Oryzias latipes: one gene and its partner. The protein of the gene in region 1 interacts with the protein of each later gene in a biochemical or structural test. Links are inferred from orthologs where the notes say so. Each region holds a gene or a part of one and is shown on either strand. Other genes may lie near its edges.

Region 1 (3,500 bases):
AATGGCACGATGTTTGTTGAAAAAAGAAAAGAAAAAAAAAACGGAAGAGCGAAGGAGTCGTCCATAACTTTATGTGAAGTGTCTCAAATTTACTCTGACGTAAAGACAGAGCAGCAGTGGTCCTCTCATTGTTTTGTTGTTGTTCTTTTTACAGTTAAGAATAAAGACTTGGAGTTTGGTTTACATTTTGGTTCCATCTGACTCATTTCCCAATCCTCTTCTGTGTCATCCAGATGGTTTCTGGAGAACTTTAGTCCGGCCTGGCTTAAGCAAGGGGACCATTGGAGAACTGCAGGACTTGAATCCATGACGACATTGCGTGTTACCATAGTAACCTTTGTCACTGTGGTCCCAGCTCTTTTCAGATCATTGATCAGGCCCTCCGCATAGTTCTGGACCGTTTCCTCACCGTTCTCTAGATCTTTTCTTCCCTGCTGGGTGAGATATTTCAGGAAGCTCCATGTAGAGCGAGATCGTCAGTGATCTTCCATTTTATAACAGTTGACAGTTTCTCTGCAAGCTGCTGCTTATTGTAGATTGGTTCTTCCCAGTCTCGTTCAGGTCTACACGCTTGTCCCTGGTGTCCTTCGACAGCTCTTTGGTCTTGGTCATGGTGTAGTCTGAAGGGTGCGGTCGGGTGTGTTTTATACCGATAACCAGTTCAAACAGGTGACATTAATACAGGTAACCAGTGGAGGATAGAAGAGCTTCTTAAAGAAGAAGTAACTCGTCTGTGAGGGACACAAATCTTGCTAGTTTTTAGGAGATAAATACTTTTCTGCATCATTACACAAATAAATTCTTTAAAAATCAAACAATGTTATCTGCTGGATTTTTATTTTACATTCCGTCTTTGATAGTTGTAGTTTATCAACGGTGAAAATTAGAGACCAAACTACAAACAGAAAGTTTTTCCCCCACTGTACATAATCTAATGTATTTTAAATAAATATTGGTATTTTTGAAGCACAACTACGAAAATGCATAAAACTGACTGTTATGATTGTAAGCAGTTCAAACTTGAAACGGTGGATTTATGATTTCACTTTAGCAGCTTTATTTAAACGTTTTCATTTGCACAGTTGATGAAGTGTTGGAGGCAGCTGTATGAAATGTGCAGTAATGTCTGTTCTGTATTTTATGAGATCATTTGGACTTTGATCCAGCAGCTCTGGAGGATTTATTTAAAAAAAAAAAAAGGGCCCTGACTTTTTTGTTGCAGCCCCTCCATTAAAGAGAAAACGGAAACAGTTCTCTTCCTGCACCTGGGAGCAATCTTGGATCTGTCCTTGACAATCGTCTGCCATAGTTTGAGAAAAGCAACAGGTGAGTATTGAGAGGCTGTGCAAAGCAGCTGGTTCCTCCAGCAGCTCGTGGAGAGGAGTTTCTTTGACCAAGAGTTTCTTCCAACTCGACATGATCCTCTGAAGGTTCAGAGAACGAATCAGCTCATCGAGTTTCATTCTGCTCAGGAATTTCCAACTAAAGTAAAGCTTTGCTTTACTTGATACCCCAGATGAAAAACTCTTCCGGCCTGAACGCCGTTTCCTGTAAACGTCCATCATGATTCTGCAACAACTGAGGATTAACCGTCATCGCTGTTAGACGTTTGACTTCTAAAGGCCAAAGTTGGTAGTTTGATTCCTGGCTTTTGTGGAAAAGATATACACGTAAACTTTACCCATGATGCACTCTGGTCTGTCTCAGAATCACTCTGTCAGCTGCTTGGAATAAAAAAATATCGTTTGGGCACAAAATATTAATCTTTTGGGCGACCAGGGAGCGTTATCCTAACAAAACTAAATCTCTTTAACCCATAAGAACCTTTGGTGACATCAGTGTACCAGAAGAACATCAGAAATGTGTTCTGTAGTCTACTTTGTCCCACATAATTAGCTTTTTTGGGGGGGACAATGGGTGTGGGTTTTATTGGGTTAAACAGTCAAAGTTAAAAATGGAGAATCTTTTTAGGGAAGGGCAGAAACCACAAAGTCAATGACTGAGAAGGCTACATTCAGGCACCTACAGCCTTTCAGGGCTTCTCAACACATCCATGCAATGCATCGTCACACCGCTAAACTACCAGAGGAGAGGCCTCTGCGAAGTAAAGAGCCACATTTCGGAATCACCGTTTCAGTTTAAGCGGAGCTTGTATTACGACGAGCTCCGACAGCCACCGAAATGTGGCCTTCAAGGCTGCGTACCTGGGTTTGTCTCTAAGCCTCTCATTGGAAGAGTGGGAGGAGAGGTCGGAGGGGTGGCCTCGTCTGTCATCCTGTGGAGAGTAAGAGCGGTTCGACTCGATCTCTGAGATATCTGCAAAACACGACACACAGGATGAAAGTTGTGACCTCCCTTCAGACAAGCCAGTGTCTTCACACGCGTGTTCTGGTTACAGACACTCCAAACTGCTTTGGGAGAGGGTTGGATCTATGGGAAATTTGGAAAATTGTCTACTGGGGGCGATACCAGACACAAACGCCCCCTCCTGGAGGATGTAGAGGAATGATCAAGATTTAGACGCGTTGCCTTCTAAAGCCAGGGGCTCAGCTAAATGATTAGCATCAACCCTGTGAACACACGACTCCAGGATGTTCTGAAGCTCGGACGAAAAAGAAAAAGGTTTGGAGCTTCTGCAGCGACAATGAAATTCTGCAACAGCAGGATTATGAAGGGGATTAGATCACCCTGCTGCAGGCGAGTGCACATTTTCACACATGAAGACACGTGCACACACACACACACACACACACACGGAACTAAAGTGGGTCATAAGTCTTAGGGCCATCCCCCCCCTCCCGTAACAAACAAAAACTCACACCACTTATCTAGATTGGTTTTGACCAATGGCGGCGTGCCATCTGGTCATGTGACTTTAAAACCAGGTATAAAGGAGCGAGTGCGATGAGGCGGGGCCTGATGACGGTTAGTGGATGTCTGGTGTTAGTACTGCTCTGCAGAACATGAAATAATGTTTGCGTACGACTAAAGTGGATGTGAGCAAAAGCTTTATTCAATTACTGGATTGACAGATACAACATTGTCATGGCAACAAAGCTGGTTTAAGAATGAACTTCACATGCACTGGGCTTTCTATATGAAGAGGAAGATGGAGGTGGTGATGATGATGATGATGATGATGTCAGCCACTTGCACAGTGTGCTTTCACACCAGATAGGTCCTTCTGCCTTTCTGTTTGGACTGTCTCTCACCATCGAGCTCCGAGTCGCTGTCGACCATGGGCGGGATTCGGATCAGCACCTGCCGCCGGTCCCGCTGCACCACCAGCTGCAGCTTTCCGCGGGACTTCTCGATCAGCTTCCCGGCGTCGCTCAGAGACAGGTTCTCCGTCACCGTCCCGTTAATCTGAAGGAGACACGTGAGATGTAACACCCGACACACTCGCTGGTGCAGACGGTTGGATTTGGCCAAAGCACCTTCAGGATGATGTCGCCCTCCTTCAGGTTCCCGTCTCTGCCGGCGAGTCCGGTGCTGGTCAT
Region 2 (4,053 bases), on another chromosome or scaffold:
TTGCTGCCCTGGTTTTCCGCCCCACATCAATCAGACAATGGGATGGGTTCTCCCCCACCTCACCCCTGTCCCTCTGAGCTGGCAATGCCTACTTGACCCAGCAAAAATAAAACATTTACAGCAGTGAAAACCAAGAGCCAAACTCTAAAGCTATATACCTTCGCTGTGCAATTTCCTTTTCGGTGACCAGATTCAACTGCCCCCCGACAAAAACATCACAAAGCACCACTAAAAATTGTTGCATGTGTTTTTCATTTGACGTATCTTTGCAACAGTCTTCAGTGCATGACTTGGTTTGAGGCAGCAGGCTGCAGACTTCATGCATGACTTAATAAATGTGTTGTGGCAGGGAGCTTTCTCTGCAGCTCCCAAAGGATGGGAAATAATTGACCATCTCTTCAAATCTGGTAATTAGGTCTGTTTAAGCTTAGTGGTTATGTATGGCAGTAACCGTGAAATGTATACAAACGCTTTATTATTTCATCCTCAGGTCGATCATCACTTGCTCTTTCCCTTTAACAGTTCCATTCATTTGAAAAGCTGTCAGTAACTCCCCAGTCTGGTTTGAGTTTGAGCCTTTTCCACGTCAGAACGGTTACTTGTTTGATAGCAAGTATTGCAGGCAGTTTCCAATGTGTACAGGAGGGAGGATTGTACTCTGGAACAGTTTGACTTTGGATTTTATCGCATTGATAAGAGAAGAAAACCTCACCCTCCCTTTCTCTTCCCCTGGCCACTTTCTGCTGCTCTCCTCAAAAGGCTGTGGAGGGAAGTGGAATACGCAAGAGTGGCGAGGTCAGGGGGAGTGTTGTAATAGTTTTGGAGTCAGTATCATGAGCCACAGCATTGTTTTCTTTTTTTTTTTATAATGACCTTCTATAAGTAGTGATAGTTTGATATGATATCTCAAGCATTTAAGCAACTAAACCAAATGTTTGGCAGATTATTTCACAATTTTTAGAATTTCTCTGTTTCAAAATAGTATATTAAATTCATTTAAGTATCTAACAAGGGATATGAATGTTTGTTGTAGCAACTCTGTGCTTTTAAGCTTTCCAAGTCTGGTTAAAGCAATTAGGGCTGGTGTCTAGTACATTTCAAAGATTAGTAAGGTTTAGCTGGTTCTCACATGGGGAGTGCCATCTATGACAGTGTGCCTCCAGGTTAATGACTCACAGAGACGCTGAGGACAAAGTTCATTCAAGCAGTCAAACGCCCGTAGATCTGCATTTGTTCAAACTAAGCTTTTATCTCTGGGTTTGTATTTTCAGGTGTTTGTCTTTATTTACTTATTTTTGCCTAAAAATTTGTTTTTTAGTCTGAGATTGATTGCTAATTCTACATGTAAAGAATATTCCTGTCGGTCTATGATTCAGACATTTTGAAAACAAACTGAAAAAAGTACCTTTTGGGGAACTGTAGTTGAGCTTGTTCTTTTTATGTGACTGAGTGTACATGCAAACAGAGCTATGTAAGGTCATGTTTGATAATTAGCAAGCATAAGGCTTTAGTTCTAAGTGCCTTAGTCGTATTAGTGTACACACATTGTTGTACAGCTTAATGCTTTGTTCCTCGAAAGAAAAATTGCATCAAATTACCAGTCAGGTGATCCTCTCTGATGTTCTCCTAAACGAATGCAAACACAACCTGGAATTGATGTTGAGGTAAAGATCAAATGTTGTCATACATTTGGTCAAGGACAGTTTGTTAAAGTGGAGGTGGAAGATGAAGGAGATTTTTTAGGATCTAATGCTCTTCCTGTTTTCTTTCACTTTTACTTTGCAGTGTAAAGCTGTGCAGGTCAGGTTACGTTATGGTTTTTCCCTCCACTGCTTCGTTTGGAATGCCCAGCATGCTCACACTACTCATTTAGCCTTATCAGTGAGCAAATGTTGAACGATAACCTGCTTCCTTTTTCCATTGCAGACAGACTTTGAGTGATGAATTGAAATAAAAAAGTTGTTTTTTTATTGTATAAGGTATGAGGATAAGTAATATTTAGTTATAAGCTGGAGTTATAAGTGAAAAATCTTTGTTCAGGAATGCCTAAGCCGACTTTTGTTGTTCTTTTCTGCTTTGCTGCCAGCATGAACACGCAGTCTTCAGGCCACAAGACTGCCGTCGACCATGGCGTCCAAATCCGATTCATCGACAACATTGGAGACGGTGGGAGGCACCCTGCGCCCCAGCCCAGGAACAAGCCTCCGAGCTCCTCCAAATACGGGGTAGCAGTCAGGGTGCAGGGAATTGCCGGCCAGCCCTATGTGGTCCTGAAAGATGGCCAGAAGGGAGATTCGTACGGGGTCCAGCTCAGGACGGACTATGGACCTGACTACCGTAGTCTTCCTCGGAGAACAGTCAAGCCAGGGCTGGGAGTGGAGGAAACATATGGAGAAACAGGAGAAGGGGGAGGCCAGGGAGGGGTTTTGCGCCGCGCTCAATCCCACGGATCACTGCTAGACAGAGATGGAGTGCCTGCCATCGAGGATTTTGAGCTGTCTAGACCCCCTGGGGATGGGAAGTCTGGTAGCTATGGGAATCTGGACGGAGGAATTGGAGTGAGGGGTAACAACGAAGAGACGTGGGCTGCGAGTGGCAGAGAAGGGCCTGTGGAAAGAAGAATGTGGGGAGGCTCTTACCAAGCTACCAACCTCAGCAGGTCACAGGAGTCCCTTAGGGACAGTCAGCTGAACCCGTACCCACCCCAAAAAGTACATGAGTTTCAAGTAAATCAGAGACAGAGTGCTTTCAGCAGGCTGAAAAACAGGTTTGATGGTGGAGCACCTGCTAGCCAGCAGAGTGGACTCCCTCCTGTACTTCAGCCTCCACGAGCTACATCTCCTTACACCAGCCAAAGCCCCTACACCTCTCCTCCGTCCTCCACTAACAGCAGCTTGGGTCGCAACCAAGGCTCTGTAGTTGCGTCCCGCTCCAGCAGCCAGTGGTCTTCAAAAGAGCGTCTGCAGGTGGACCTACCTGACACACGGGTAAGAACTCGTCGTTCGTTCGTGTTTGTGCGTGGCAGCTGTTTCTGGAGTGAGCTCTAAGCACCGCAAAGCATGCAGTATTGCAAGCAGAGATTTCTGATCTATGTCTGAAGGCGACCCCTGACCTTTTGCTGGACCAGGTTCAGAGTGCTGAGATGAGCAGTGAGGAGGAGCAGCTCATGAAGAACCTCTACAGCATCTTAAAACAAGGGTATAAACCTTGAGTTTACTCCCATATTCATCTGTGCGTTCAGCTAGTTGCAGCGTGAATGACTTGAAGGGTTTTCTTCCTTTTAGATCCAACGAGAGAGATGTTGTCATCAGACAGAAAGTTGAAGCAATTTATCTGAATCTCCAGAGCCTAAAGGTTTGTTCATTTTGAAACTGACAAAAATTCCCTGAGGAGTCCCCCCCCCCCCCCCCTAACAATTTAGTAGAACAGGCCTTTTACATGTATGTCTCGTCTTACACTCTTTTTGTTACCAGCCTAAAGAAAGCCCTCATGAAGAGTGGATGAGAGCAAAAAGGGAGCTGGAGACAAAGGTGGCTGAACTGCAAACTGCCCTACAGGAAGAAAGAAGGGTAAGTGGAGTAGAGATGAAAATGCTGGTAGGCCCTCGTACCTCTGACAGGAAGAAATGTCTGTTCTTTCTGTCCTTTAAGTCAGGTGTTAGACGATGTTTGTGTAAAACATGGTGTTTACTGTTTGTATGTCCTAAATCAGCGCTCCCCAACCTTTAGTGCACCACAGACCGGTTTGATGTCTTGCAAAATTCTCACGAACCGGTATGTTATATGTGGCGTGGCGGACACACGCTGCAGCAACGCTGCAATAAAGGCAGAGACACGTGATAAGACGTACACTGCACTTTTATTTTGACACACTAAACATTGTACATCGCACAAGTGTCATCGTCCTCTCTCCTTCCCACAGTCATGGTGCTAAAAAGAAGTAAACACAATAGGAAGAAATAACTAAGGGTGAAACAACATAACTGTCAGATGAAAGGACCCGTAGGCAAAAAGAAACACCCGTGCTCAACCAAAGCAGGCAAAGGGGATTGAT

Evidence for each region. The genes of interacting proteins can lie anywhere in the genome.
Region 2: the proteins of tjp2 (region 1) and cgn form a complex in vitro, tested with the Homo sapiens proteins (2 studies listed by BioGRID and IntAct, with this or other methods). The link is inferred for Oryzias latipes from reciprocal best matches to the Homo sapiens genes TJP2 and CGN.

What each region holds. Positions count from the first base shown.
Region 1 is NC_019870.2:25,463,487-25,466,986, reverse strand, and holds part of tjp2 (tight junction protein ZO-2), read right to left. Parts: coding exon 3,438-3,500; intron 3,367-3,437; coding exon 3,213-3,366; intron 2,317-3,212; coding exon 2,205-2,316; intron 1-2,204. UniProt on the Homo sapiens protein: Plays a role in tight junctions and adherens junctions. Acts as a positive regulator of RANKL-induced osteoclast differentiation, potentially via mediating downstream transcriptional activity.
Region 2 is NC_019874.2:18,259,351-18,263,403, reverse strand, and holds the start of cgn (cingulin), read left to right. Parts: upstream 1-1,253; 5' UTR 1,254-1,271; intron 1,272-2,086; 5' UTR 2,087-2,087; coding exon 2,088-2,987; intron 2,988-3,100; coding exon 3,101-3,198; intron 3,199-3,284; coding exon 3,285-3,354; intron 3,355-3,473; coding exon 3,474-3,569; intron 3,570-4,053. UniProt on the Homo sapiens protein: Probably plays a role in the formation and regulation of the tight junction (TJ) paracellular permeability barrier.